Elephas maximus indicus: one gene and its partners. The protein of the gene in region 1 interacts with the protein of each later gene in a pairwise test. Links are inferred from orthologs where the notes say so. Each region holds a gene or a part of one and is shown in the gene's direction. Other genes may lie near its edges.

What was found.
Region 2: the proteins of STK16 (region 1) and PLSCR3 interact in binary tests that used the Homo sapiens proteins (3 or more experiments, as listed by UniProt). The two-hybrid records come from large-scale screens. The link is inferred for Elephas maximus indicus from reciprocal best matches to the Homo sapiens genes STK16 and PLSCR3.
Region 3: the proteins of STK16 (region 1) and SAXO1 interact in binary tests that used the Homo sapiens proteins (3 or more experiments, as listed by UniProt). The two-hybrid records come from large-scale screens. The link is inferred for Elephas maximus indicus from reciprocal best matches to the Homo sapiens genes STK16 and SAXO1.
Region 4: the proteins of STK16 (region 1) and MIIP interact in binary tests that used the Homo sapiens proteins (3 or more experiments, as listed by UniProt). The two-hybrid records come from large-scale screens. The link is inferred for Elephas maximus indicus from reciprocal best matches to the Homo sapiens genes STK16 and MIIP.

Annotation. Positions count from the first base shown.
Region 1 is NC_064824.1:117,833,317-117,840,996, forward strand, and holds the start of STK16 (serine/threonine-protein kinase 16), read left to right. Parts: upstream 1-4,675; 5' UTR 4,676-4,725; intron 4,726-4,729; exon of another isoform or gene 4,730-4,779; intron 4,780-5,067; 5' UTR 5,068-5,171; coding exon 5,172-5,257; intron 5,258-5,803; coding exon 5,804-6,023; intron 6,024-6,326; coding exon 6,327-6,460; intron 6,461-6,628; coding exon 6,629-6,749; intron 6,750-6,872; coding exon 6,873-6,968; intron 6,969-7,344; coding exon 7,345-7,466; intron 7,467-7,594; coding exon 7,595-7,680. Other genes in the region: GLB1L (beta-galactosidase-1-like protein), read right to left, coding at 1-46, 135-309, 401-495, 2,022-2,082, 2,268-2,418, 2,674-2,840, 3,017-3,073. UniProt on the Homo sapiens protein: Membrane-associated protein kinase that phosphorylates on serine and threonine residues. In vitro substrates include DRG1, ENO1 and EIF4EBP1. Also autophosphorylates. May be involved in secretory vesicle trafficking or intracellular signaling.
Region 2 is NC_064837.1:13,418,200-13,425,384, forward strand, and holds the start of PLSCR3 (phospholipid scramblase 3), read left to right. Parts: upstream 1-4,179; 5' UTR 4,180-4,254; intron 4,255-4,374; 5' UTR 4,375-4,438; intron 4,439-4,448; exon of another isoform or gene 4,449-4,598; intron 4,599-4,811; 5' UTR 4,812-4,985; coding exon 4,986-4,992; intron 4,993-5,257; coding exon 5,258-5,493; intron 5,494-5,579; coding exon 5,580-5,622; intron 5,623-5,736; coding exon 5,737-5,957; intron 5,958-6,150; coding exon 6,151-6,312; intron 6,313-7,185. UniProt on the Homo sapiens protein: Catalyzes calcium-induced ATP-independent rapid bidirectional and non-specific movement of the phospholipids (lipid scrambling or lipid flip-flop) between the inner and outer membrane of the mitochondria.
Region 3 is NC_064827.1:28,838,658-28,846,298, reverse strand, and holds the start of SAXO1 (stabilizer of axonemal microtubules 1), read left to right. Parts: upstream 1-4,634; coding exon 4,635-4,655; intron 4,656-7,641. UniProt on the Homo sapiens protein: May play a role in the regulation of cilium length. Stabilizes microtubules at low temperature.
Region 4 is NC_064821.1:51,870,245-51,878,232, forward strand, and holds the start of MIIP (migration and invasion-inhibitory protein), read left to right. Parts: upstream 1-4,971; 5' UTR 4,972-5,058; intron 5,059-5,150; 5' UTR 5,151-5,284; intron 5,285-7,127; 5' UTR 7,128-7,220; coding exon 7,221-7,334; intron 7,335-7,573; coding exon 7,574-7,906; intron 7,907-7,988.

The DNA of each region.
Region 1 (7,680 bases):
GGTTCATACTTCCGAAGCTGGTTAAAGATTTTGGTCATGTTGTCGGCTGCAGAAAGGAGGCAGAGGTGAAAGATAAACATTATAGAAGAGGTGCCCCTTCCCCTGACCATATTCCTACCCCTTGCTTAGGAGACCTGGGCCAAAATCTACAGTGGTATAGAGTCCCTGGAGGGTGCCACATTTGAGTCCTTCAGGCCCATCAGTGGTAAAGAGCAAGATCTTGTCTCCCAGTATTGTACGGAAGAGCCCAGCCAGGTGCCTCATGTAGCTGAAATCACAGGCCTTATAACTACCATATTCATTCTCCACCTGCCAGGAAGAAGGGAAAAAGGAGTTCAGTGAGGAGGTTAAGGACCTCCTACACCCCCTTTTCCTTGCCCAGTCAACTTTTCACTTGTACCTGAATGCTAATGATGTTGCCCCCATTGTGGTACAGCCATGGATATATCTTGGGCAGCAAGACATGAAACCAGGAGTCCACTGCAGCAAGGAAGTCTAAAGGAAGAAGCCGCGCTCTCTGAGCCCACAGTGCTCTGCTCATTAGGGGCTACCACAACCTCTGCACACACATACACAAACACACCAACCAGCGTCAATACTAGCAACTTCCATGCTGACTATACTTGGGGCTGCAGTCTCCATCTGACTTATCTGAACCAAATCCATTGCCGCTGAGTCGATTCCGACTCACAGTGACCCTACAAGACAGAGTAGAACTGCCCTATATGGTTTCCGAGGAGCAGCCGGTGGATTTGAACTGCTGACCTTTTGATTAGCAGCCGAGCTCTTAACCACTGTGCCACCAGGGCTCCTCCATCCCACTTGCTGTTGTTAGGTGCCGTCAAGTCATTCCTGACTCATAGCAACCCTATGTACAACAGAACGAAGCACTGTCTAGAACTGCGCCATCCTCACAATCGTTGTTATGCTTGAGCCCATTGTTGCAGCCACTATATCAATCCATCTAGTTGAGGGTCTTTTTCTTTTTTCTTGACCCTCTACTTTACCAAGCATGATGTCCTTCTCCAGGGACTTGTCCCTCCTGATAACATGCCCAAAGTATGTGAGATGAAGTCTTGCCACCCTTGCTTCTAAGGAGCATTTTGGCTGTACTTCTTCTAAGACAGATGTGTTTGTTCTTCTGGCAGTCCATGGTACACTCAATATTCTTTGCCAACACCATAATTCAAAGGCATCAATTCTTCTTTGGTCTTCGTTTTTCACTGTCCAGCTTTCACACGCAATATGAGGTGACTGAAAAGGCCATGGCTTGGGTTAGGTGCACCTTAGTCCTTAAAGTGACATCTTTGCTTTTTAACACTTTAAAGAGGTCTTTTGCAGCAGGTTTGCCAAATGCAATGCGTCGTTTGATTTCTTGACTGCTGGCTTCCATGGGTGTTGATTGTGGGTCCAAGTAAAATGAAATCCTTGACAACTTCATTCTTCTCTCCGTTTATCCCACTTATACATAACTAAATCTGGGAAGCACTGACTGACTCTTGTCAGAAGAAACTCAACCCTAAGCACTCATATATTTGCATATCAATGGAATTTCAACATAGGAGACCTTAAAGCAGTGTTTCTTACACATTTGTTTTTTTCCTGTAATAAAAATGTTAAATACATCTTAAACCTTATAGAGCTATTATTATGTAATCAGCTTATGCCTCAAATTGCTATAAAGTGGCCTGTGAATTCACAGAAATGTGTAATGTGTAACCTGTACCCTAATGCACTGTCCGGTCGATTTTAGCCATCAATTGAAAGATCCCTGGTTTACATTAGGTAAAAAAGGTAGCATGCCTTAAATTCTCAACTCCTACTTGTGATTTCTGTGATTCACTCTCAGGTCTTCATGCATGTTATTACTTCTGCCTGACATTTTTTTTGTCCCCACTTCCTTCATTTGGCCAATTGCAACTCATGCTTAAATTATAGCTCGCTTCCTCAAGAAAACCTTCTCTGATACCTGAGCCAATTGTTGTTTGCCTTCTTCTATTGAATCTTCTGTCTCAACTCACCTGGATCTGAGGTTCTCAGATGAATTTTAGGTTTTCGAAGCAACCAGGATGGGAGACCCCCCTGAGAGAAACATAAACACAAGGAAGAGTGTAGGTTTTGTTGTTTTGGGGTGGAGTGGGGGAGGTAGGAAGGGAGGAAGTTCAGTGCAGTGTTGGAAGTGGCCCTACAGTATGGGCAGAAGGGAGTTGTCTAGGAATCATACAAGGGTGGCTTTGGTTCTTCTATCCCTTCTCCAACTAACTCACCATCTCCCACTCTGCACAAATATAAGGTCCTGGTCTCAGTATGACCAACAAGTTCGCCTTATTTGCCTCATTCAGAAACGCAGTGAGGTCCCGGCTGCCATTAAAGTTATAGACCCCAGGCTCTGGCTCATGGTAGTTCCAAGGCACGTAACTGGAGGAAAGAAGAGGTTAACAGGGCCCAAAGTGGAGAGATACCAGTGAGGCCTAAGGGCTCAGGCTCTGCAGGAAATCTCCAGGAAGCAGTTGGAAAAATGTCCTGGCCCACCCTTTCCCACCCTTGGCCTGGGAGCCCTGGTGCTCCAACCCCTCTCCATCCTGTGCCAGTCTTTCTGCCCCAAGCTTCCTCCTAAGGGGGTGGTACGAAGGGTAAGCCCCGCCTCTCCACGGCTCTCTGAGCACTTCTTACAACTGTATGGCGTTAAGGCCGCTCATTCGCATTTTGAAAAGCCGGTCTGCCCAAAGCACCCGCGGTACCCGGAAGTAGTGCAGGCTGCCAGATACATAGCGGAACGGAACCCCGTCCAGGAGGAACCGGTTATGATCCCGATCCACTACGAAAGACCGAGTGTCTGCCTGCAAATTAAAGTAGAGACGCTGCTCAGCAGAGGTCTGCAGTGGGGATCAGCGTCTGCCGAGAGCGGAGAATATGTAAATAGCCCCGCCAGTTATTATTTTTACTTTCCCTACATCCGCCGAATCTGATCCGGCCTCATCGAACCCGGCAGGCCGGCTCAACCCTCTTATCTTACCTGGGGCAGCAGCAGCGTCAGGAACGGCAGCAGCAGAGAGAGAAGGCAGGGCGGCATCTTGGGAGCCACGGCGCTTGCAGGGCTCCTAGTTTTGAGACTGAGGTCCAACCGTCACGTGGGATTCCTGGGAGGGAACCTCAGTGAGCAAGGGGGCGGAGACCACCCCAAGTTGCCAGAAGATTACCCTGGACTTTTGTCTCCAGCCTGCAGCCACCTGCCACTCTACTAGATTGTAAAATCCTCTATATCTTGCTACTCAAAGTGCAATCCATCGGACCAGCTTCGTCAGCATAACCTGGGAGCTAGTTAGAAATACAGAATCTCAGGTCCTTTCTCAGACCTATGGAACCAGAATTTGTATTTTAACAACATCCTCAGGAGACCCTAAACACATTCAAGACTGAGAATCACAGCTCTACTAGAATAACTCCCTAAAGGCAAGCAGTGCCTGGTCCATCTTAAATCCTCCAGAGTGGACACACAGCAGGTTAAATATAGACGAATGAATGTCAGAACCAGGGGCTAACGCCTGTTCAGAACTAAGGGAAACCTCAGACAATCTTCCCCATGATCGGGGTATGAAAACGGAGAACCAGGTTACAAAAGGGATGTTTCTCCTGGAAAGCCCTGTTTGAGAAAAAGGGTCCGTCCTGGCCATTCATTCCATCTTATCCCCATCCCACTCTCCCAGTTCATCCCTGCCTGCCTGAGCAAGAGATTTTAAGAATAACTGCTTGGTGCCAAGATTTGGGAATTTGTCAGTCTCCATTCCTCCTGCCCTCACAGTCCCAAGCCTGGGATGTGAGGACCAGGGTAATTAGTAATAATTACCGTTATTGTTTTTTTTAACACTTACTGAAGGCTATGTGTTAGATATTATGCTAAGCACTTCATATCTCATTTAATCCTCAAAGAACTCTGAGGTAGATAATTATCATCCCCATTTTACAGATGAGGAAATTGAGGGACAGAAATATTAAGTAACCTGTTCATAGTTACACACTAGTTCAGTAGCACTGGGATTTGAACTCAGCAGTCTGGCTTCATGGTTCAGGCAGGTAACCATAGGCACCATACAACCTTTGGGACTACGGCCTGTATCCCAGATGTTCGCTGTGCAATGAGATAGAAAGGCTGAAGGATAAAGACTAGGGAAAGTGAGGCTCAGAGACGTTAAGTAACTTGCCCGAGGTCACACAGCTAGTAGGCTGTTCAGTTCGGATTTAGACCCTGGCAGTCTGGTTCACGAGTCTGATCTTAACCACTAAGCCTAGAGTGGTGGGATCCGGGCCAGAGCCCTGGAGGTTGTGTGGCTTCAGAGCTCACAGCTCCAGCAGTCCAGACCTCGAGCACCTGCTTCTCCCTGTGTCCCCGGGTTGTACAGTAGACGGCCGCTTTCTGGCCCCAGAGCGCGGGAGGTATGAGACCCCCTACCTCGGGCATTGGGAGATGGAGGTCCTGGGGGCCTAGGGCCGGGCCCGGTTTTGCTCCCCTTTGGCTCAAGTGCCTGCGTCTTGAAGGCCAGGTGGGACCCCTCGCCTGGGACCCGTCCTCCCCAGGCCTAGCCTGCCCCGGGCTTCGCAGCGCGGCGCCCCCACATCGTCCGGGTGCCCAGCGGTTGCTATGATACCGCGGGCCGTTATGCCGGCGCGGACTGATGATGTAACCACTGTTTCCGGCCGCTAGCGCGTCCCTGTCGCCCGAGCCAGGTCAGTGGGGGGCCGGGGCTGGGGGACCCTGGGCTCTGCGCGCGGTTGCCGAGGGTGGGTCCTAGAAGGGATGGGTCCTGGAAGGGGTGGGCCCCAGCCTCGCACCTCCCGCGAACTGCCCTGCCTTGCCTTTACGGCCCGACGGGCGTGGGAGCGGGGGCCGCCCAAAGGTGGCCTGAGGTTGGCGGAAGCGGCGTGGTAGTTGTTACGTGGCCTGAGGCTTTAAGGCACCTGACCCCAGCCTTGTTGGAGCTGGTGTCGCCAGGTCCTCAGATCCAGGCCTCTGCTTTCCGCATTGGTACCTCAGGGGTCGTCGCGACTGTTCCTTTCTGTTCTTTACAGCATGCTCTGCTGGGCCCTCAGTGCATGGCCTGGAAGAGCCCACTCATCCTGAACGAATTCTTCTGCAGCCTCAGACCGTCTTTGAGGAGGATGACTGAGACACTATGGGCCATGCGCTGTGTGTCTGCTCTCGGGGAACTGTCGTCATTGACAATAAGCGCTACCTCTTCATACAGAAACTGGGGGAGGGGTGAGTGTTTGGAAATCACTGAGCGAGTTCCCAGATTATGGTGATTGAAGGACACCAATCCATACATGACAGGGGTATAAGGGTTTTAACTCTGTCCTCTAAGTCACCTAACGGGGCCTAGCTGCATGGTAGTCAAAAAGGTGAATTCTGCAGCCAGGCCTCCTAGATCTACCTTGTGTGACCTTGGTAAGCCATGGTTTTGTCATATGCTTGATGGAGATAATCATGTTTCGCTGATGGAGTTGTGAGGATTGAGATGATGTGTATAAGAGGGCAAGCCCAGTGCCTGGTCCATAAACACTTGGTAAATGTTGGCTGTTATTCATTTAACATTTATTGAGCATCTGCCAAGTACAGAACTCTGTGTTACGATCGTAGTACCTCAGAAATGACTATGTCGCTGTTCTCGAGGAGCTCAAAGTATGATAGTCTTCAGATGGGTTTCTACTAGTTGGGAAATACAGCCTTCTTCCCCCAGGGAATTCTTCTGGGTGCAGGCATTGCGGGAGATGACCGTGGTCCTTCACTGACCCCTTTGGCCCACAGTGGGTTCAGCTATGTGGACCTAGTGGAGGGGTTACATGATGGACACTTCTACGCCCTGAAGCGAATTCTGTGTCACGAGCAGCAGGACCGGGAGGAGGCCCAGCGAGAAGCAGACATGCATCGGCTCTTCCATCACCCCAATATCCTCCACCTCGTGGCTTACTGTATGAGGGAGCGGGGCTCGAAACATGAGGCCTGGCTGCTGCTACCCTTCTTCAAGGTCAGAAGGACTCTTGGATGTGGAGGGGGTTGCAATAGAGCCACTTACTAAGGGCTGTGTGGGCAGTCAAATGTGTAGGAAGCAGGGACCATGTCCTGGGTTTGGCCACTCAGATTTGGGGTTTAGAGGAACCCCAGTGGGACACATGGAGCTGCCATGAGTCAGAATCGACTCAACGACACTTGGTTTGGTTTTTTGATTTTAAGTGGGACTGTGGGATCTGAGGTGTGTGTGGTGAACAGGTTGATAGGCTTTGACAGAGCGAACAGAAGGCTCAGGAAAACTGGGGAAATTGTGTTGCAGAGAGGTACGCTGTGGAATGAGATAGAGAGACTGAAGGACAGAGGCAGCTTCTTGACTGAGGACCAAATCCTGCTGCTGCTGCTGGGTATCTGCAGAGGCCTTGAGGCCATTCATGCCAAGGGTTATGCCCACAGGTCAGTGGGAGGATCCCCTACTTACTGGGCAAAGAGGAAGAGCCTCACCAAAAGAAATGGGAAGTCTTTGCTCTCCTTTCAAGCAACAGCCCCCATGATTCTTTTGTTCCTTGGGATTTTGGCCTTACTGTCCAGGGATGCTCATGATTCACTCCCACTTCACTATAGAGACCTAAAGCCCACCAATATCTTGCTTGGAGATGAGGGGCAGCCTGTTTTAATGGACTTGGGTTCCATGAATCAAGCACGTATCCACGTGGAGGGTTCCCGCCAGGCCCTGGCCCTGCAGGTGAGTCTCCAGGTTTGTTTGTCCACCTGTTCCCCATCCTCAGTCCCTTCTGGGGCATGCCCCAATTTGGTCACATGACTGTGGCCTGTGACCCACTTTTGAGCTCTGGGGCCACTGTTCCAGGACTGGGCGGCCCAGCGATGCACCATCTCCTACCGGGCCCCGGAGCTCTTCTCCGTGCAGAGCCACTGTGTCATTGATGAGCAGACTGACGTCTGGGTGAGGAGCATATGGCTGGGAACCTGGGCAGGGGAGGATTGCTGCTCTGTACTCACTGTGCAGTAGAGGGTAGATCTGTGGTTTCTACTGCATGAGGCCCCAGGAACCATGGTATGTCCCCATCCTCCTTGGCTTCCTTCCTGGGACTGTCACAGATACTGTAGTCAACTGCTCAGGAAGTGGTATAATTCCTGCCCTTGAGCAGGGTGGGTACAGCTACATGTCAGGGCTAAAGACAGTGGCTAAGCAAGAGATACAGAGGCCTCCAGATAAGTGGCAGTTTCTGTGGGCCCTGATAGTGCCCTTTGACTGAGCAGCAAGGGATGGGTCTTACCTCCATCAGTTCCCTTCCAGAGAGTAACCCAGGTATGCTCAGTCCCTAGGCTGTGTGCTGTATGCCATGATGTTTGGGGAAGGCCCTTATGACATGGTGTTCCAGAAGGGTGACAGTGTGGCCCTTGCTGTGCAGAACCAGCTCAGCATTCCACAAAGCTCCAGGTAAGCAATAAAAGGGACACCAAGTGTTTCAGACACCTCCCTCTGGTGTTAGCTGCGCTGGGGCCTTAGCAAGCGGGGAATGGGTTGCCCTCCAGTCCTCCAGTCAGCCTGCCTTCCTCCCTCTACAGGCATTCTTCAGCATTGCGGCAGTTGGTGGCTTCCATGATGACTGTGGACCCCCAGCAGCGCCCTCTCATTCCTGTCCTTCTCAGTC
Region 2 (7,185 bases), on another chromosome or scaffold:
TTGAAGACTAAGGTGCTCCTGACCGAAGCCACGGTATATCCAATCGCATCATATGCATGTGAAAGCTGGACAATGAAAAAAGAAGATGGAAGAAGAATTGACGCCTTTGAATTGTGGTGTTGGTGAAGAATATTGAATATACCATGGACTGCCAAAAGAATGAACAAATCTGTCTTAGAAGAAGTACAGCCAGAATGCTCCTTAGAGGCAAGGATGGTGAGACTGCGTCTTACATATTTTGGAGATGTTGTAAGGAGGGATCAGTCCCTGGAGGACATCATGCTTGGCAGAGTACAGGGTCAGCAGAAAAGAGGAAGACCCTCAACGAGGTGGATTGACACAGTGGCTGCAACAATGAGCTCAAGCACAACAATAATTGTAGGGATGGCTCAGGACCAGGCAGTGTTTCGTTCTGTTGTGCATAGGGTCGCTATGAGTTGTAACCGACTCAACGGCACGTAACAACAACAACAACAATTCAATCCATGGCACCTGGCTACCAACTTCCAAAAAATTCAGCCATTGAAAACTCTGTGGAGCACAGTTCTACTTTGACACACACAGGGTCACCATGAGTCACAGTCAGCTTGACAGCAATTGGTGCTGGCATTGATGATGTGGGTAAAGAGAAGGGAGAGGGTTCAAGAGGCACCTCACAGATGGGATAGATGGGGATATACAAGATGATTGGGAGAGAGGGGACGGGGTGACTGAGCTGGGGTAACTGGTTAAAAATGATTAGTGTAACCCAACTGGGAGAAGAGGAGGAGCAGAGCTCTTTTGGCCATGCCCGCACCCATCCCTGATCTGCCCTCACCCCTGCTCTGCTGCCTTCCCCATCCCAGTAAATGGCAACTCTTCTTTTCAGCTGCTCAGGCCTCAAGCCTGAGTCAACTTTGACTTTTCTTTTCCTCTCTCACATCCCACATCCAAGCCATCATCAAACCCTGTTGGCTCAAACAGAATCTGGCCGTTTCTTACCACCCCTGTTGCTACCACTCTGGTCCCTGGTCCAAACCATCATCATATCTCACCTAGATTTTTGCAGTAACTTCCTTCTGCCCTTGCCTATCTACAGTCTACCCTCGACAAAGCAGCCTGAGAGACAGAGAGAGATCTTTTCAACAAAGCGGTCCTCGACCTTTGCTGCATATTAATATCTGCTGGGAAGTTCTCAAAAAATGCCTACATCTGCCCCTCACCCCTAGATATTCTAATTTAACTGTTAAGGAGTGGTGTTTTGAGTTTGAGAGAGTTCAGCGTGGATCAGAGAAAAACATATGACCACCAGATAGCAGTGTTGCACAACAAGCTATTTATTGGAGCCCAAAGTATTGGACAGCTCAAATGTGTTGGGGAGGGGGTGGGGGGGGCAGTCCCCTGCAGCAGGAGGCACTCCAGAGGCAAGCAGTGCAAGGAGCCACCAGAAGGGGAAGAGGACAGGGAAACTCCCCAGGGGAGGGGGGGATTGAACGGGGGTGTCTATATGTTTAGGTTAAGTTCCTGTGCACTAAGGTGGGGAGTCTCTAAGTCAAAGAGCTCCAAAAGGCAGCAGCAGCTTGGGGTCCTTATAACTACAGGGTTTTATCTTATCTGGAGCCCTGGTGGCACAGTGGTTAAGAGCTCGGCTGCTAACCAAGAGGCTGGCAGTTTGAATCCACCAACTGCTCACTGGAAACCTAATGAGGCTGTTGTACTCTGTCCTGTAGGGTCACCATGAGTCAGGAGTCAACTTGATGGCAATGGGTTTGTTTTGGTTGGTTATCTTATCTATGGCTAGCAGATGGTGGGTGCCATTTTGGGGGATATGTAAAGCAGTCAGGGTCTCAGTGGCTAAAAATCTGCTTATTTTAAAAACAACAGATATGTAAAAATATGAGTTTGATGCCCTCAGGCTTTTTGGGTTAACAGGCCTGAGTTTGCTATGAAGAAATAAACAGCCTAGGGCCAATACATAGGGGCCTCCTTTGGCTCATTTATATAACAAGTAGGGCCCAGGGAGAGGTATTTTTTTAAAGCACTCCAGATAACATAGAATGTGGTCAGGGTGGAGAACCACTATTCACATCACTTCTCTGCCCAAGTCCTCCAACAGTCCCAATCCAACTCAGAGTATAAACCACTGGTCAACAAAGCCATATGTGATCTACCCTCCCGTGACCTCTCTGACCTCACCTTCTACCACTCTCCCCCTCTGTCTTAGTCATCTAGTGCTGCTGTAACAGAAATACCACAAGTGGATGGCTTTAACAAAGAGAAATTTATTCTCTCTCAGTCTAGTAGGTTACAAGTCCAGATTCAGGGTGTCGGCTCCAGGGGACGGCTTTCTCTCACTGTCAGCAGATTCCTTGTCATCAATCTTCCCCTAGTTGAGGAGCTTCTCAGGCACAGGGCCCCAGGTCCAAAGGACGCACTCTGCTCCTGGTGCTGCTTTCTTGGTGGTATGAGGTCCCCCAACTTTCTGGTTGCTTCCCTTTCCTTTTGATCTCTTGAGAGATAAAAGGAGGTACAGGCCACACCCCAGGGAAACTTCCTTTACTTTGGATCAGGAATGTGACCTGGGTAAGGGTGTTACAATCCCACCCTAATCCTCTTTAAAGTAAAATTACAATCACAAAATGGAGGACAACCACCCAATACTGAAAATCATGGCCCAGCCAAATTGATACACCTATTTTTGGGGGGACATAAGTCAACCCATGTTGCCCACCTTCACTCCATTCCAGCCACACTGGCCTCTATTTTTTTCCTTGAACAATTTAAGGCACATTTTTGCCTTCAGGTCTTTGTCCTCGCTGTTCCCTCTGCTTGAAGCTCTCTTTACCCAGAAGTCTGCGTGGCTTAACCCCTCACCTCCTTTAGGTCTTTGCTCAACTACTGTCTTTTGTGATGCCTGCCTGGTCCACTCTATTTAAAATCAAAACTCCTGCCCACCGCTCCTGACCCTCCTTATCCTGGTCTAGTTTTCTTCATAGCACTTGTCACCATCTGACTTAAAATGCATTTATTATCTGTCTCTTCTCCACTAGACTGTGAGCTCCAGGAAGGCAGAAATTTTGGTCCGTTTTGTTTACTGCTATATATTCCTATCACCTCAAACGCTGTCTGGCACATAAAACCATTGCTGTCTAGTCGATTCCAACTCATAGGCATATAGTAGGTGCTCAATAAATCTTTGTTGACTCTCTGAATTTCTGAATGTTTATGTGATTTGGTAGAGTCTGAAGTATTAAGGGATACCAGTAGAGAGGTCAGGCATTCGGGTGAGGGGCTGACACAGGGCAGGAGTTCCCCAAACTGACTTCTCCCCTTGCTCACCTTGTTGAGTGGTATCTCCGTCTGCCTGGTTATCAGGTAGGCACCTGGAGTCATCCGGGACTCCTCACCTCCACATCTCACTCACCAACCATTCCTACATTATCATCTAAATATCTCTTAAGCGTCTGTGTCTACTACCTTTGCCCAATACACCATCGTTTCTCCCTCAGACTACAGCCAACAGTCCAGCCTGAGTGCCTCCTGTTCTCCATTGTTTGAACGGTCTTTCTAAAACACAAATTTGACATTCTCCCTCTGTCTTACGAGCCCTGGGGCCAGTGGTGAAGCGCTCAGCTGCTAACCGAAAGGTCAGCGTTTAAACCCACTAGTAGCTCCATGGGAAAAGACGTGGCTGTCGGCTTAAAGATTTACAGCTTTGGAAACCCTGCGGGGCAGTTCTGCTCTGACCCATAGGGGCCCTCGGTCTTAAGATCTTTTCAAGGGGCTCTCTGATGTCCTTGGGGCCAAGCCCCAGCTCCCACGAGGCCCTCTGCACGCGTGCTGGCCTTCTTCTCTAAACTCGTCTCTTGCCATTCAGCCCGTGGCCCCAAAGGCGCAGGACTTCTTCACACATGTGGGCCTGGGTTCCGAAGCCCGACGACTGACTCCTCCCGGAGGACGCCTCCTCTGACCGCATTTCCTCTTCTGGGCCTCTGAGCCTCACCTCAGGCACACTCATTAATGACACTCTTTGGCAGCCTGTCACCCACTCGGCTGGGAGCGCCTGAGGGAAGTAATTGCGAGGGGTGTATGTGGGTCACCGCGGCGCTCCGGCCTCGCTCTGACCAGGAGAGGTGGCGAGGCAGCCCCGGGGAAGCAGAAAGGGAGCAGGAGCCGGCCGCAGAGCTAAAGAAGGAGTGCGAAGCGTGTTGCGCTGCGTCAGCGAGCCCCGGAGCGCCCGGAGTCTAGCACGGCCAGGCCGGGAGCGCAGTGCAGGTGGCCCGCGTCCCCACCAGAGGGCGCCGAGCGCTCTGCGCCCGCGGGCCTGGCAGGGTCGCGCGGCTGAGGTCTCAGCCGGCTTCCCTCTCCAGCCGCTTTTCCTCCCCACATCTGCAGTCGGAGCGGAAGAGGCGGGGACGCCGGCGACGCCAGGAGCGCGCGGTCCGGACTCTGCTGCAGGGTAGGAGAGCCGGCGTGCGTCTTCTCTGCGCAGGCGCGCCGCCAAGGCCGGCAGGGGCGGGGCCTGGGCTGGTCGAGGGGCGGGGTCAGATCCAGGGCCCGCCTCCACTAGCTCTTCAGAGCGGCCGAGCCTGGCACCCAGGCAATTCTGGGGGTTTCAGGTGAGCATGGGGCACAGAGGGATCTGGGAGGCTTCTCTCGAGGCCGGGTCGTCGGTCTGACCGTGCGCGGGCCCATCTGTCCTGCTGCCCGTATCCGGCCACCTCCACGGAGAATGGGAGAACAAAGGGAGGGGGCGGTTCTGGGGCCCCGGAGGGAATCCAGGGTCCCAGGTACCCCGCCCCGCCTGCTGACACTTTCGGTTTCTCCTCAAGTCAGAGGTGCCGCCCGGAGACCCTGGTCCAGCGCCGGGCACAGCTGCTTCTGCGCGTTTGCCTGTCCGTCTTTGTGTCTGTCTCTGTGTCTATCTGGCTGTCTCCGAGCCTGCCTCCACTTCTAAAACTAAGCCGCGCGGACACCGACATCCCCTGGGTCCCCGCCCCTGTCCCATGGCAGGTAAGTGGGCGCAGGGCTGGGGGGTCTCCGTTATCCCCCCCAGCCCGCGGACTTGGGAGCCGGGTGTCGAACACATCCTCCGGGAATGTGCTCGGACTGGCTACGTGGGCCCCTCCCTTCCTCCGGGGAGCCGCCGCCCGGCTCCCCCGCCCCATCTTTCCCAGTCTTCCCCACCACTTTAACCCCGCAGCCTCGTGGCCCACGGGCTGAAGACGAGGGGATGAGGCTCCTGGGCCCTTTCTAATCTCGACCCCTGTTTCCACAGGCTACTTGCCCCCCAAAGGCTACGCCCCTTCGGCTCCACCGCCCTACCCTGTGACCACCGGATACCCGGAGCCGGCGCTGCATCCTGGGGCCGGGCAGGCGCCGGTGCCCGCCCAGGTGCCCAGCCCCGCGCCAGGCTTCGCTCTCTTCCCCTCACCTGGCCCCTTGGCCTCGGGGTCTCCTGCCCCCTTCTTACCACTGCCCGGGGTGCCTCCTGGCCTCGAATTCCTGGCGCAGGTAAGTGGGAGAGAGGGAGGGGTGACCGGGGCCCGGCGTCCAGGCGAGCCAGCTGACGTCGTCGGCGGTGCCCTTACTCTTTCTAGATTGACCAGATCTTGATTCACCAAAAGGTTGAGCGAGTGCAAGGTGAGTGGGGCAGCGGCAGAGGAGGTTGGGCCTAGTGATGCAGGCAGGGATGGCGGGCTCTGGGGCCAGCATCGGAGCCTGAGCCTCAACAAGACTCTTGTAACTCCCTGGCAGGGCTCCTAGGCTGGGAAACCTGTAACCGGTATGAACTGCGCTCGGGGGCAGGGCAACCCTTGGGCCAGGCGGCCGAGGAGAGCAACTGCTGCGCTCGCCTGTGCTGTGGTGCCCGCCGGCCGCTGCGTGTCCGCCTGGTGGACCCCGGGGACCGCGAAGTGCTGCGCCTGCTACGTCCGCTCCACTGTGGCTGCGGCTGCTGCCCCTGCGGCCTCCAGGAGGTGGGTGAGGAGGGGTGGGGTAGAGGACAGGCTGGGGTAGGGGAACAGGCCATGGTGGGGTGGGGTCAGGGATGGGGTGTGGTTCGGGTGGGCATGGGCTTGTGGGGATGGGAGAGTCTAGTGAGAGGGCTAGGTGGGAGCTTGGACCAGGCAACCCTGGCTTGGCAGTGACCCTGTCTGCCTTGTATCCCAGATGGAAATACAGGCTCCACCGGGCACCACCATTGGCCACGTACTACAGACCTGGCATCCGTTTCTCCCCAAGTTCTCCATCCAGGATGCTGATCGCCAGACTGTCCTTCGGGTGGTGGGGCCCTGCTGGACCTGTGGCTGTGGCACAGACACCAACTTTGAGGTATCAGGAAGGGGAGCTCCCTGAGACTTTCATAAACAAAGATGGCAACTTCCATGATCCAAGATGGCAGCCTCTGTGAGGCAGGATGGCCAATGCTAAGGTCAAGACTCTGAGCTCATCAATCCAAATCCACTGTGATTCCTACTACTTTTCAGTTTTCTTCCATTCTGAAATAGGATGGCTCAGTGGTCTTATAAAAGGCATGTCAAAGAGGGTTTCATCTTAAGAACCAATGTTGATTGTTATCTACAGCTCTGTGTTGAGGAAAATCTGATGCCAGCCTGGATTTAGGGGGAAAGATGATTATTGAGTGTATAGCTGCTGTGTGTCAGTTTGTGAGCCTATGCCCAGGGACGAGCACTGATTTGACTTATTAGCATCCTTTGGCTTGCCCACCAACCTAGAAAGCCAAATGGCCTCTCTAACCTGGAATCCAGGTGACACCCTTCCCACCGTGGGTTCCTATCACCAGCCTGGAACCTGGAGACCCCAAGTGGTGACAGTTTCAGGGTGAGGCCTGAGAAACACCTTGGTTTCTAGAAGGGAAGGTCACCCCACAGACCCTTGAGTTCCTTAAGGGATAATTATCTCTGCAGATATGGGAGAGGCAATAGGTATAATCTAACAGACTTTCCAAAGCTTCTGATGAGGTACCCTACCTACCTAAAGTTATTTTTAAAAACTGAGTCACCTTGGTAGCCAGGGGAGGTTCTGTGATGGGAGCCAGGTGATCTCTGGGTGGGAATGTGTTAATTGTCAGTTCTCATTAGACCAGTCTCCCTTTTACGTAATTATAAATGGTCCATATTTGAGGTTACAGTCTTGGGACTATAGGACTGGTTGGGATAGGCCCTGCCTACCCTGGGACTGCGC
Region 3 (7,641 bases), on another chromosome or scaffold:
GAGCACAGTTCTACTCTGACACACACGGGGTTACCATGAGTTGGAATCAACCTGATAGTAACTGGTTTTAAAGACCACAAGAGGTGTGGACGTTCCTGAGCATTTGCTTTTCCTTTTAAGAAACCATGGCCAACGCAAATGAAGAGCCCCAGGCACGTGTATGGTAGGCATGTGATTGGTAGAAAAGGTCAGGTGTAATGGTGAGGAGTGACTTTTGTCCTTCAGGTTCAGCCTCTAGGAGCTGGTCTTCTCAACTCTTTATACCCAATTCACAGGAAATCAAGAGGTCTTTGTGGAATATAAAGCACAGTACAGCTTCAGACGTTGCTATATTAGGGACAGATTTTCTGTCTTGGAAATACAGAAAAAGGATGCTTTGAGGGTTGGATGTTGGGCAATTCTATTTGTTGCCCACAAGCTTAGAAGAGTGAGCACAAACACTGTCTCTGGCAGGAGCCCTGCCCATCACCCAGCTCTGAGGCCTCCCAGATGGAGCTCCACACCCCCTCCCCGCCCCCCCCCCCCGCTGGTTCTTTGCAAAATAAAAACTTACCCTCTGACCTGTCCTAAATTATCCTTGCCCTGTGTCACTTACAACAATAAACATATCACCCAGAAGGCCCCTCTGCCCCGCCAGAGCCAGCGTAACAATAAATATCATTCACATCAAGATGTGGTCAAAGTGGAGGAATGCAGATGTTGAAGGAATTTCCAAAACAAGCTGTTAATGATCATACTCACTGCTGTTGAGTCGATTCTGACTCAGTGACCCGGTAGGACAGAGAAGAGCTGCTCCCTAGGGTTTCTAAGGCTATAAATCTTTAAGGAAGCAGACTGCCCCGTCTTTCTCCTGAGGAGTAGCTGGTGGGTTCGAACTACCAACCTTTTGGTTGGAGCTGAGGGCTTAACCACTGAGGCACCAGGGCTCCTCTGTTAATAATCATCAGGACTTTTAAAAGAAAAAGTGGCAGAACCAGGTTACTGGTGGTGAGGAAAAAGAGCGGAAATTGTTCTCTCTTAACTCCTTTATTTCCTACTCCAGAAAAAGAACCAAGGGGCAGAGGGCATCTCCTCTCCCCTGTAACTTACTGTCACTGTTTCTCAACTCTGTGCCTGCCATGCTGGGCACTAACTTTTCAAAGATTGAGAACAAAAGTTATGCCCCAGCTGTCAGATGCCCCACTAAGGATGGCTGGGGAAAAGGATAGGTTAGCCCTGTGTCTACACAGAGTCACCCCTCTGGCCCTCAGAACCTTTTACCAGAACGCTGTACCCACTTCCCTATCCAACGGCTGTCGCTTGCTTATTTTCTGAGGTTGAATTTGGGGCTTCCACCTGCGGAATGAAAAAGTCATGTGGCTCAGGGCTTTGGCTGGGTTTGATGATTAAGCCCAGACACAAAAAACACCTGGTTTCTGGAAAGGTTATCATCCCAGCATGAGGCATGGTTACAGCTGCATGCAACTCTTACCATAAATCTTGGGGATTTACAGCAGGTGCCATGAAGGGAATGCTCATCGTTTCCAGCCCTTCTTAGTGTGAAGTTGTTTCTTGCAGCCCTTGGTAGTTCTCTCAGATAGGATCTGCCTTGAGTTCAGATAGGCCTGAGTTTAATTTATGAATAAGAAGTTTGTACTTCAGGCCTCATTTCCTTTTAGGCATGTCACCATGTAAAACACTTGGGCTTCATTTTGGGACATTATTTCTGTTAGCTAAGCCAGCTCCCTAAAGATGGGCAAAATGAATCACCTCAGAAGAAAGAGGTGAGTCTTACAAGATGGTGTTAGATTTTTATCCTAAAGGGAGTGGGACTGTGGGTATGGTGGGATGGAGGTGCAGGGAGGATGGTGGAATCAGGTTCAGACTTAATGGATTTGGCTGGAGGCAGAGGGCAGGGAGTTGGTAGAACAGTCTTCTTCACTGAATGACATGGCTCTTCGGTAAACTGAGCAAAATGAGTATATTAGTTATCTAGCACTGCTACAACAGAAATACCACAAGTGGATGGGTTTAACAAACAGAAATTTATTTTCTCACAGTTTAGGAGGCTGGAGGTAAAAATGGCATGGGGCAGAGTCTGGCCTCCTCCCTCTTCACAAGGGGGAAGGAGAATCAAGATCAACAGCCCAAAGGTGATTCCCATGAGGCAGAGGTCAGACATGCCTTCTCTCTCCACCATCTTTACTGATTCTGACACCAACAGTCCCTCCTATGGCACTCTCTACTTCTCTACTGGGTTCAGTAATTCCTTGCAATGGCCACAGTTATGGGGTTGATTAGGGAAGTAACATGTTAAAATTCAGGTTCAGGAATGCCCAGGATACAGTTCTTCTACCAGGACAGGCACATCCCAGTCAGGCTCCCAGGCACACCTCTCCCTGGCCCTTGGCCTCTCTCCAAAGACAGTTTCCTCGCTCCATGGGTTGGGAAACCCACGATTTTATCAGCCTCTACTGCCAGTCCCTCCTGTCACTGTTTCTCTGCTACCACTTCTCAGTGTCTTTAGTGTTACAGCTGTCTGTCTCCTGGGTCCAGGAGCTTCTCAGTGCAGGGATCCCTGGTACAAAGAACATGCTCTCTGCTCCTGGTTGTTCTTCTTGGTGATGGTAGGATCCTCTCTCTCCTGCCTCTGGGGTGGCTCATTTCAAGCCCTGCAGGATGGTAAAACTGACCAATCCCTTTGGTGGGCCACAATTACCCTATCACACAGTCTCGCCTAATCACTTGGGTGGGAGTTAAAAGACCATGGCTGGAAAGCCCATACAAAAGTGATCCATCATACTGGACTGGAAGTCCAAATTCAGGGTGCCGGCCCTAGGGGAAGGCTTCTCTGTGGACTCTGGGGAAGGTTCTTGTTCCTGGTGTCTTCACATAGTGTGGCATCTATCTTCCCCGTCTCTGCATGCTTCTCTCTGCCTAAGCCACTTGGTTTATATCTCAAAGGTGATTGGCTTAAAACACACCCTATATTGTTATGGCCTTATTACATAATAAAGAAAACCCTATTCCCAAATGGGGTTACATCTACAACTATGTTGTTGTTGTTAGGTGCCATTGAGTCAGTTCTGACTTATAGCGACCACTATGTACAATAGAATGAAACACTGCCCGGTCCTGTGCCATCCTCACAATCATTTTTATGCATGAGTGCATTGTTACAGCCACTGTGTCAAGGCGGTTAGAATTACCACATATGTTTTCGGGGAGAGATGATTCAACCCATAACAGCGAGAAATGAAATAGCTAAAAGAGAATGGGCATTTGGTGTCTCTTTTAGTTAACCTAGTGCTGCTGTAACAGATAACACAAGTGGGCAGCTTTAAAGAACAGAAATTATTTTCTCATAGTTTTGGAGGCTAAAAGTCCAAATCAGCGTCTCAGCTGTGTGGATTCCTTTTTTGTCGGTAGTCTGGATGTTCCTTGGTCCCTTGGCAATCCTCACATGGCATCTGTCTTCCCCTGTGTGTGCTGGTCTCTGTGTCTCATCTGCTTCTTTTGTAACTCTGAAGTGAATAGGTTCAGGACACATCCTACACTGCTATGGCCTCATTAACATAACAAAGAAACCCTATTTCTAAACAGGATTACATTGCAGGTATAGGAGCTAGGATCCCAAAACACATTTTAGGGGCACACGATTCAATCCATAACAGTATCCTCTCCAAAAGCCATAAAAGAAGCAAGAAAATTGGTAGCAGGCCTGAGTCTGCCAATCGAATTTTATATATTTTCTGTGGAAATACGTACTTGACTCCCTACTCAGAACTATGCTGCTGGGGGTAGACTTATTCTCCCCTCCATATACTGGACCTGAGAATTTATGGAGATATGAAGAAGAAGGTCTCAGCACCAGACTTGCCTGGAAAATTTCCGAGGAAGTTAGGTGTGGATTTAGATGGCTAAGTATGTTGTTGTTAGGTGCCATTGAGTCGGCTCTGACTCATGCCAAACCCACTGCCATCGAGTTGATTCCTACTCATAGTGACCCTATAGGACAGAGTAGAAGTGCCCCTTAGGGTTTCCAAGGCTGTAAATCTTTACAGAAGCTGATTGCTATATGTGTCTCCCGAGGAGAAGCTCGTGGATTCAAACTGCTGACCTTTTGTGAGCAGCCAAGTGTTTTAACCACTGCGACCTTATATGTGACAGAACAAAACACTGCCTGATACTGTGCCATCCTTGCAATTGTTTCTATGTTTGAGGCAATTGTTGCAGGCACTGTCAGTCTGTCTCCTTGAGGGTCTTCCTCTTTTTTGCTGATTCAAGTTTTATGTCCTTCCCTAGCTATTGGTCTCTCCTGATGACATGTCCAAAGTAAGCAAGATGAAGTCTCACCATCTTCACTTCTACAGAGCATCCTGGCTATAGTTCCTCCAGGGCAGATTTGTTCTTTCTTCTGGCAGTCAAACACATAAATTCTTCTTTGGTCTTCCTTACTCATTGTCCAGCTTTCACTCACATGTGAGGTAATTGAAAATACCATGGCTTGGGTCAGGCGAACCTTAGTCATCAAAGTGACATCTTTGCTTTTTATCACTTTAAAGAGGTCTTTTGCAGCATATTTTCCCATTGCAATCTGTTGTTTGATTTCTTGGCTGCTACTTCCGTGGGCGTTAATTATTGATCTAAGAAGAATGAAATCCATGACAACTTCAATTTCTTCACCATTTATCGTGTTGTTTATTGGTCCAGGAAACCTTGGTGGCATAGTGGTTAAGTGCTATGGCTGCTAACCAAGAGTTCAGCAGTTCAAATCTGCCAGGCATTCCTTAGAAATTCTATGGGGCAGTTCAACTCTGTTCTCATAGGATCACTATGAGTCGAAATCGACTCGACGGCAGTGGGTTTGGTTTTTGATGGGTTTTATTGGTCCAGTTGTAAGGATTTTAGTTTTCTTTATGTTCAGGTGTGATCCATGCTGAAGGCTGTAGTCTCTGTCTTCTGGAATTCCTTTCTCACTTTCTAGCACCTGTGGTTGCCTTAAGCATGGTCCTCTGGTTCTTAAGAAAGGTGGGAGGTTTTCTATTTGTGTATTAGCTGTCCTGCATCGCACAGACTGGGGCCTGCCTTCAAGCTAGAAATTGTGAAAAAAAGGACACCGACACAGACACACTCTCTCAGTGCCATTCCTTTCCTCTACTATTGGCTTTCCTCCAGAATCTGCCTATTTGAATTGCTCTTTAGTGCTTTCGTGTAGTGGTTTTTATATTTTGTCCAGAGTTTATGTGAAGCAAATGTCAGCCTCAGCCTTAGTGGGGCTGAGGAGTTGAGAGACTAGAAGGAGGAGACAGGCTCTGTGAAACTTGAATCCTGGAGGGCATGTACTTGAAATCCCATCTGTTGTAGTGAGGATAAGGAAGTCTCGATGTGTCCTATCAAGATCACGGCCAAACCCTGTGATTCAAATCTGGGGATCTTTTTCAGTGTGCTGAGATAGGCCTCTCAACTTGCTGGGGATGACAAAATGGTTTTCTATGGTTTCCTTAGAAGGGTGCCTTTTAACCCTGGGAAGCGTTAGAATTATATATGGAAATGATGTAAATCAAATCCATTGACAGACAAAGGGAAAACCCTATAGAGGAGATTGAGAAGGAAGACAAATCATGAGGAGCAGTATCGCAGAGGTCCAGGGAGAGAATATTAAAAAAAGATTGAGAAGATGGATTCTACTCAGAGGGTGCAGTAAGATAAGGATGGGGAAACTGTGATTGGATTTGGAAATAGGGTGGTACTTGGTGGCCTTGCTGAGAGCAAGGAGTAAATAGAATCAGATTATGGCAGGTGGATCATGAGTGGGAGGTGAGAAAGTAGAGTCCACACCTGTAGACAGCCCTTTTTAGAAGAGAGAAGGGGAGGGAGAGAAATGGCAGGGGAGTCCAGTGAGGGTTGTGTCTTACTTCGTTTTTTTTCCTTTAAAGATGGGAGAGACTGCAGCATGTTTACCTACTGAGAGAAAGGAGCTAGGAAGGAAGAAGTGAAAACACAGATAGGAGATGGTTGCTAGATGAGGCTTTCAATAAAAAGGGAAGGGATGAGACTCTGAGCAGGCGTGAAGAGATTTGCTTTGGACAAGAGGAGGAAGGACTCTTTAAAATTGATTCCATCTTACTGATTAATTAGTAGATAAGAACTGCTTTAGGTGAAGGGAAGGACAATACTCAGTACATGGAAGGTCAGCTCAACTGGACTGGACCAAAAGCAAAGAAGTTTCTGGGATAAACTGAATGCTTCAAAGGTCAGCGGAGCAATGGCGAGGGTTTGGGGACCAGGGTTTAAGGGGACTTATAAGTCAATTGGCAAAATAATTCTATTATGAAAATATTCTGTATCCCACTTTGAAATGTGGCGTCTGGGGTCTTAAATGCTAACAAGCGGCCAACTAAGATGCATCAATTGGTCTCAACCCACCTGGAGCAAAGGAGAATGAAGAACACCAAGGTCACACGACAACTAAGAGCCCAAGAGACAGAAAGGGCCACATGAACCAGAGACCTACATCATCCTGAGACCAGAAGAACTAGTTGGTGACCGGCCACAATCGATGACTGCCCTGACAGGGAGCACAACAGAGAACCCCTGAGATGCAGACCCCAAATTCTCATAAAAATACCATACTTAATGGTCTGACTGAGACTAGAGGAATCCCGGCGGTCATGGTCCCCAAACCTTCTGTTGGCACAGGACAGGAACCATTCCTGAAGACAACTCATCAGACATGAAAGGGACTGGACAGTGCGTAGGAGAGAGATGCTGATGAAGAGTGAGCTAATTATATCAGGTGGACACTTGAGACTGTGTTTGTATCTCCTGTCTGGAGGGGGGAGGGGAGGATAGAGAGAGTTGGAAGCTGGCAAAATTGTCACAAAAGGAGAGACTGGAAGGGCTGACTCATTAGGGAGAGAGCAAGTGGGAGTATGGAGTAAGGTGTATATAAACTTATATGTGACAGTCTGACTTGATTTGTAAACGTTCACTTGAAGCTCAATAAAAGTTAAAAAAAAATTGATCCCATCTTAATATGATTGATTATTTGAATATACTAGCAAATTCTTAAATTTGTACAGATAAACATTAAAAATAGGTTACAAAAGTATTGCTTGGTCCTGTTATCTTATCCGTGTGAAAATTCTCCATTTCTGGCTCCCAGGGTCATGACTCTGGTTTAGTTGTCCTTATTTCCTTCTTCCTTTTGTCAGACGACTCTTGTCTAGCACCTTTCTTTAGCTTTGCCAAATGAGTCGATGTCCAGTTGTTATGACTTCCCCAGTGGGGCCACTTCAGCCTTTACTTAACTCTGAGTTTAACTCTTGGCCTTCCATACTGTATAACCTTTATAGCTACCTACTCTGAAAGGAAACTCACGTCTTTGACCAATGTTTGTTTTTGTTTTGGTTCATAGTCACAATGGGCACAGGGACTGGGAAATGTATCCCAGGAAGAGAGGGGAGATCCAGTGTTCTTAAAAAAAAAAAAAAAAAAAAAAAGCTACTAAATTCGAGCCTTTTTTGGGAAGAATAAAATAGACTTTTCTTTCACACAGAGTCAATGGCTGTAAGATTATGTGAGATTGGGGACGTGCAGTTATGCCGTGGTTAATGATAGTTTACAGTCAATGTTCTCAACATAAAAACATAATGAGGA
Region 4 (7,988 bases), on another chromosome or scaffold:
TTCCAGAGACTTAATACAGCCTCCTTATCTACCATGAATACTTGTAGCACCAGCTTACATCCCAGCCTGGCTTTCTATAGAGCCCTTGCTTGCTCTGGGCTCCATTCAAAACTAGCAGCTTTCCAAGTTACCCAAAATAGGATTGTGAGAGTATTCCAAGGGTAACATATATTACCTTCAGAACCAAAGAGACCCTCCAAGCATTGTTCCTTTTTCTTAGTAGGTGGAGAGGGGAGGTGCCATAATCTGTCTTTCACCTTAGAGGGATGTTCCAGTATGCTCGAGACACTGGGCTAAAAATGGTGGGATTTATTTACTGCCATCTGACACATGTGGCTTCCTAGGAGCATCTAGGGTGCTAGTCACATTCTACTCACTAAGTCCAAGTAGCTTGATGCCATAGATTTAGTAGGGACATCAGTATTTATGCATAATATCAAAGTCCCTATGGACTGACTATACTGTATTATGAAAGAGAGTATACATAGTTCTGGGGCAGGACAGAATGTCTACTGCTGTCCCCACTGTGTGAATGGAAACTGCTTTTGTTCCTCCCTACCGATGGCAATTGAAAAGAGCATATTACACAGAGTAATAATAACTGCACACCAAGTACCAGAGGCTATGTGGTTCTGCTCCAGTAAAGATTCCACATCTGGCATGGCCTTCCCTTCAATCAGTGAGCTCAGAATCTGAGAAATGACTTGAACATATATGGGAAGGAGATGAGGGACCATCATTTTCCACTGCTGCAGCAGAAGTCAACTTTTGGCTAGCCAGTTCTCAATTTTTTAATTATTCAAGTTGAGGAACATCTTAGTTGACTGTTCATCTATGTGACTCCTAGGAACATCATGATTTAATGGCCATTGTCACAGATCCCATGGGTCTAGGGACTCTTTCTGCTGCTCCACCCCTGCTGTCTATTATGATCTGTCTTGCCTCTGACAGTTATGCCTCTGCCATACCAGAATCCTATCATCCCCACTGATCTGAGGGAGCCCAGTTCCATGACAGCATCTCTCCTCATCAGTGAACAGAGCAGCCACCACTGAACTTCTCAAAGATGCCAGTCCACCTCCCCTTGATGATACATTTCTTATTGCCTTAGTGAAGAGAATGTCCTTTGGGTGAAGGAAAACATGGTAAACTATTCATATATTCCTACTGTGGGACAAAGAACATGATTTGGCCTTTTGTATTTGGTAGAACTTGGTATGCCTATTCCCAAGAAAGGTGATCCAACCAAATGTGGAAATTATAGAACAATATCGTTAATATCACACGCAAGCAAAATTTTGCTGAAGATCATTCAGAAATGGCTGCAGCAGTATATCGACAGAAATTCAGGCCGGTTTCAGAAGAGGACGTGGAACCAGGGATATCATTGCTGATGTCAGATGGATCCTGGCTGAAAGCAGAGAATACCAGAAGGATGTTTACCTGTGTTTTACTGACTATGCAAAGGCATTAGACTGTGTGGATCATAATAAACTATGGATAACACTGAGAAGAATGGAAATTCTAGAGCACTTAATTCTACTTATGAGGAACCTTTACATAGATCAAGAGGCAGTCGTTCGGACAGAACAAGGGGATACTGATTGGTTTAAAGTCAGGAAAGGTGTGCATCAGGGTTGTATTGTTTCACCATACCTATTCAGTCTGTATGCTGAACAAATAATATGAGAAGCTGGACTATATGAAGAAGAACGGGGCATCAGGATTGGAGGAAGACTCATTAACAACCTACGTTATGCAGATGACACAACCTTGCTTGCTGAAAGTGAAGAGGACTTGAAGCAGTTACTAATGAAGATCAAAGACCACAGCCTTCAGTATGGATTGCACCTCAACATAAGGAAAACAAAAATCCTCACAACTGGACCAATGAGCAACGTCATGATAAACGGAGAAAAGATTGAAGTTGTCAAGGATTTCATTTTACTTGGATCCACAGTCAACAGCCATGGAAGCAGCAGTCAAGAAATCAAAAGACGCATTGCACTGGGTAAATCTGCTGCAAAGGACCTCTTTAAAGTGTTGAAGAGCAAAGACTTGAAGACTAAGGTGCGCCTGACCCAAGCCATGGTATTTTCAATTGCATCATATGCATGTGAAAGCTGGACAATGAATAAGGAAGACTGAAGAAGAATTGACGCCTTTGAATTGTGGTGTCGGCGAAGAATATTGAATACACCAAGGACTGCCAAAAGAACCAACAAATCTGTCTTAGAAGAAGTACAGCCAGAATGCTCCTTAGAGGCAAGGATGGCGAGACTGCATCTTACATACTTTGGACATGTTGTCAGGAGGGATCAGTCCCTGGAGAAGGACATCATGCTTGACAGAGTACAGGGTCAGTGGAAAAGAGGAAGACCCTCAATGAGGTGGATTGACACAGTGGCTGCAACAATGAGCTCAAGCATAACAAGGATTGTAAGGATGGCTCAGGACCCGGCAGTGTTTCCTTCTGTTGTGCATAGGGTCGCTATGAGTTGGAACCAACTTGATGGCACCTAACAACAACAATGATTCGGTATGTATTTGGCTTTTTGTATATGATTTGGTTTTTGAAAATACCCTGAGCAATTAAGGTGCTCTTTCTTTCTTTCTAACATAGCCAGGCTATTCTTAAATATAAGAAGCTGTGGTGACTCAGTGGTTAAGCACTCGGCTGCTAACCAAAAGGTTGGTGGTTTGAACCCACCAGCTGCTCTGCAGAAGAAAGATGTGGCAGTTTGCGTCCATAAAGATTTACAGCCTTGGAAACCCTATGGGACAGTTCTACTCTATCCTATAGGATCACTGAGTCTTAAACAACTCGACGGCAATGAGTTTTTTGGTTTGGTATACTTAAATATGTATAAATAAGTAGGGGCTACACAGGCCCCATACCTGGCAAACCAACTTCAGGAAGGGCGGGAGCATGATGCAGTCATGTGTATTAATTGCTTGGATTGATCATAACTGCATTCAGGCCCCAGTTATGCATATTCATTGAGATCCTAATGATTAGGGGGGACCCTGGACCTTGGAGCTTCTCTCCTTGGGGCTTCCTGGCTTGGTGGAAACATCTGTGCATGGGAGAGGGTACAGCACGTCCCTGAGGACAATGGAAGCCTCCTGGTGCCAGGACTTCTCCAGACCTAGCCTTGTCAGATGCATTGCTTCGCTTCTATCCTTTCTGACTGTAATAAATGGTGAAACGTAAATAATAGTCTCTGAATTTGGTGAGCCATTACAGAGAATTAATGAACCCACAGGGATAATGAGTCAGTAGGGGTTAGCCGTACAGAGTTGATTTGTGTAGACCAAGCTCCAGGTGGCTGGGTGACAGAGAAAGGCTGCAAGGACAGTCAGTGAAGGACAGACTCTTTCTAGCTTGTGACTTAGTCCCAGGGGATGAGAGAGAGAAAGACAGGCAGGTCTGACATGCAGGGAGTTGGGCAGACTCCTGAGTCTACTCTGATTACCTAGCCTCAGGGTGCCTGGGGATGAGGTCTGATCTAACTCTGGGTGGTTAGGGTCAGAGAGAGTTGCCACAGAAGTGGCTGGCGACTAGGTATGGAGATGTGGGAAGGTGAGGCCACGATCTATTCCCAGCTGAGCACTGGATTCATGCTGATCCTTCTCATGCAGTTAGTCATAAAAGTAGGGTTAGCCTGCCTCATGCCTTTTTTAGTGCACTCGCTGCACCTACCACCTTGAGACTTCCGACCTCTTCCTTCAATACTATGCTAGGGAAATTCTGGTATCTTTACTTCATTTGCTGTAAACCACCACCATGTCCAGATTGCAGGGGGCCATCTCAACAGACTGTCACAGCCAGCTCCAGGCGCCCTTATCAGAAGATTGGATCCCAAATCACGGGTGAAGGCCCATGGCAATAATTCTCCCCCATTCAGATTTAGGTTTGCCACCCCCAAACCCAATACTTTCAAGATGTATTCCCACACATATCTCTCTGTTTTTTATTGACATATTAGCCAGGTCTTGCAATTTCTTTGATGTGTAAGCAAGGCTTTACTTCTGTGCTTGGACAGGGCAGGGAGACCTGACCCTGTTTATTGGCCTAGGGGCAGAGAGTGATGATAGGAGCAGATCTTAAAGACTGCATGTACCATTATTTTTAATTAAAAAAATTTTTTTTAAATTGAGGTGTAATTAGTTCTCTCTGGCATTTATTGGCTGTGGGTTTCTGGGCAACTAACTTCATCTCTAGTAGCCTTGGTTTTGTTTTCCTTTATAAAATGGGGACAATAATACCCATCTTGGAGCTTATTTGAGGCTAGAATGCATTGGCATTCGAAAAGCATCTAGCACAAATACCTGGGACATAGTAGCACTCAGTATATGTCTGCTCATATTTTACAGTCTGGATTATAGGTATTTGTGTTCATATTTTCCACTGCCTTTCCCCATCCCCCAGGCAGGGACTCTTCTTGTTTTTTTTCTGCTTCCCAGTGCCTAGTACAGTGCCTCCTGACACAAAGCAGGCGCCCGATATATATGTTTAAAGAATGAATGCATTGGGGGCACAGAGTACACACTCGATAAATACGAATGGATGAGTGTACTATGTATGAAAGAACGGGTTGCCAACTGCCACCTACGACTCTGCCCCGGCGAATGACACAGCTTGCGACCCAAGACCGGTACCAAGCCCAGGCCTGGCCTCCTACGCCGCTAGACTGAAACTACAGCTGCAGAACGCGAAGTAGCTCGCGGCCTCGCGCCTGACCAATCGGAGTGCCCCCTCCGGGACCCGCCCCATTTCGAAAATCTGCCGCCAGTACCGGCCTTGGAAGTTGACCAATCGGCTCTTGGCCGTGGCTCTTGGCCTCGCCCGAAGATTGAAACTGCCTCTTCAGAACGCCGAGTAACGCTTGGCGGAGAGACTCGCATTTGTCCAATCAGGACTGCCGGCGCGGGCCCCGCCCCCGGCTGGGGACGGGCGGGGCGGGGAGAACGCATTGCAGCAGGGGCTGCCACGGCTGCGCAGTTTGGTGTTTCCGGGCGGTGAGTGAGGGAGCGGGCCTCGGCTGTGAGTCCCACGTGAGTACCGGGAGGTTCGGGGGACCGCCCCCTTACCTGGGGTCGTGCCTCTGCGTCCGCGAGCGCTTTCTCTTTGACTTTTCTTCCCCCAGTTTCTCTTTTGAACATCATTTTCTGTTGAATTGGCGCTGCTTGTAACTTTCCTGACGCGGCCGAACCGGGAGGAGGGCTGCGCAGGCGACTCTCTTTAACATCCTGCGAAAACGAAGGCCCTCGGACCATAGGGGTACGGCCCAGCGTAGCTCCATCGTTTTAAACGTGGGGGCAGGGACTCCCAGCCCTGAGGACCAGGCGGCTTGCCCCGGTGTCTGCCCCTCCACTGACTCCCTTCCCTGCGGGGCCTGTGTACGTTAGAGGGGCGTTTCCGTGCACATCTGACTTCTCTGCCCCAGCCCTTGCAGTGCGCCCGGGGGTGGGGGGGGGAGTGTAGGTGGGAGTGTTCGGGGGCAGGGTCCCTGAGAGCAGGATGCCTGACCCGGCGCAGTATTAAAATGGCATGGTGCGCACTGGGGGAGACATTTTCTGGTTGGAAGAGTCTGAGTCTGGAGCTGTGAGAGGGAGAAGTGGGAAGCCCCTTCCCCAGTCTGCAGAAATCCTTTCCAGAGCATTCCCTTCTTGATCTTGCATCCTTGGGTGGCCAAAGGCTGGGAGTAGAAGGCTTCCCAAGTACCTCCCTACACTGCCACCTGGCAGACCGTGGACCTGGAGCCAGATTTGGGTTTGAATTCTGACTTTGCTGCTCACTGTGTGACTTGGGGCTGATAGATTAACTTCTCTGAACCTTGGTCACTTCATCTGTTAAAAAAAAAAAAGGTTAAGAAGGAGGGAAGAGTCCCCAGGAGCCTGATTTCTGTTGGATTCAGGAATTATAATGCTTTACATGTGCATTTGTTTCCTACAGTTAGATAGCTGCCGTAAATTGACTCTGACTCATGGTGACCTTATGGAAGCAGAACAAAACATTGCGTGGTCCTGCATCATCCTCCCAATTGCTGGCATGTTTGAGTCTGTCACTGAGCTGTTGTGTCAGTCCATCTCACCAAGGGTCTTCTCCCTGGCTGTCTCTCTACTTTACTAAACATGATGTACACCTCCAGCAGTTCATCCCACCTGATGATGTATCCAAAGGAAGCAAGTTGGGCAGTGTTCTGTTGTGATCCATAAGATTTTCACGAGCTAATTTTTAGAAATAGAGCCTAGGCTGTCTTAGTCTGGAAGGTCCTCTGAAACCTGTCTGTTACGGGTGATCCTGCTGGTATTTGAAATACCGGTGGCACAGTTCCCAGCATCATAGCAACATGTAAGCCACCACAGTGTGACAAACTGACAGGCGGTGGTTTCTACAAATTAAGCTAGTCTGATTTCGTAGTTAAGGCTGTCAGGGGAGGATTATTCTCTGTTGGTGGGTAAGGAAACACACCCTGAACAGTTTTCTCTAATAATAATAGATGTTTATTGAATATGTGGTCCCTGGGTGGTACAAATGGCTAAGCACTCGAGTACTTGCCTAGTTAAGAGCTACAGTTGCTAACCAAAAGGTCAGCAGTTCGAATCCACCAGCCACTCCTTGGAAACCCTATGGTGCAGTTCTACTCTGTCCTATAGGTTTGCTATGAGTCAGAATCGACTTGACAGCAACGGATTTGGTTTTTGATTTTTTTTACTTGCCAGAAGGTTGGTGGTTTGAACCCACCCAGAGGCGCCTCGGAAGACAGGCCTGGCGGTCTGCTTCTGAAAAGTCACAGCCTTGAAAACCCTATGGAGCAGGTCCACTCTGCACACGTGAGGTCTCCATGAGTTGGAGATGACTTGAAAACAACTAAAAACGACAACAATTCAATGCTTACTGTGTGCCAGGCACTGTACTTGGGAGTTTAATCCTTAGAACAACCTTATGAGATAGATACTATTATCATCTCTGTTTGGCAGATGTGTAAACCTCTCTGAGGCATAGAGAGGCTAAATAACTTGCCTGAAGCCACACAGCGAGTATCAGAGCAGGGATTTGAACCCAGGCCTCTGGCTGAAAGACACCCTACTCACCCCATATCGTGCTGTCTTGACTTCAGGTGGAAGAACTGGGCTTGGAACCCAGGCCTGAGGGCATCTCTCAGCCCAGGAGCCAGTAATACCTCTGTGAGAAGCTCGATGAAACACCCAAGATGATGGAGACTGAGGACCTGGTGCAGCTGCGAAAGCTCAACTTGGAGCTGCTGAGGCAGCTGTGGGCCGGACAGGATGCTGTGCGGCGGTCTGTGGCTGAGGCAGCCTCCAAGGTGGGTATAGGCAGGGTCTGCCTAACCTCAGGCCAGAATGCAGGTGCCCAGGGTCTTCTGGTACAATGTGTCCATTTTACTGTTGGGAAAACTGAGGCCCAGCAAGAGAAGAGACTGACATAGGACACTGCTGAGGCCAGATCAGTGATGAGGACCAAGGCCTTCATGCCTAATTCAGGCCAGCTCTGGATGGCCTGGGGCCAGACCACTCCCTGGGTGACCTGGCCCCTCTTCTCCAGTCAAGCCGGGACTCCAGCAGCAGCCACGATGCAGAGACACCATCGTTACGGGAGATGACCTCAATGGCCTCGAGGGCCTCCTCCCCACCGAGCGCCCACCAAGATGGCACCTGTGATCTGGCTTGGCCTGGCAGGACAAGCTCCCTGGCAGTCTCTCTCCCACCCCACAAGTGCCAACGCCAGGAGTCCTTGGGCCCTCCAAGGCCCCGCTCAGCACCTTTGTTGGTCACCTTGGACTTGAATGATTCAGAGCTTTCAGCAGAGCTGGGCAGTCCAGGGCCTCGGGAGGCCCTAAGATCCATCCTGACTCCTCGACAAAGCAAGCCATCCAAGGTAACTGGGGTGGCATGTCATCCATTGTTGGGATCTTCTTCTAGCCTCAGTTTCCCCATCTGACAGACATGCTCATGGGCAG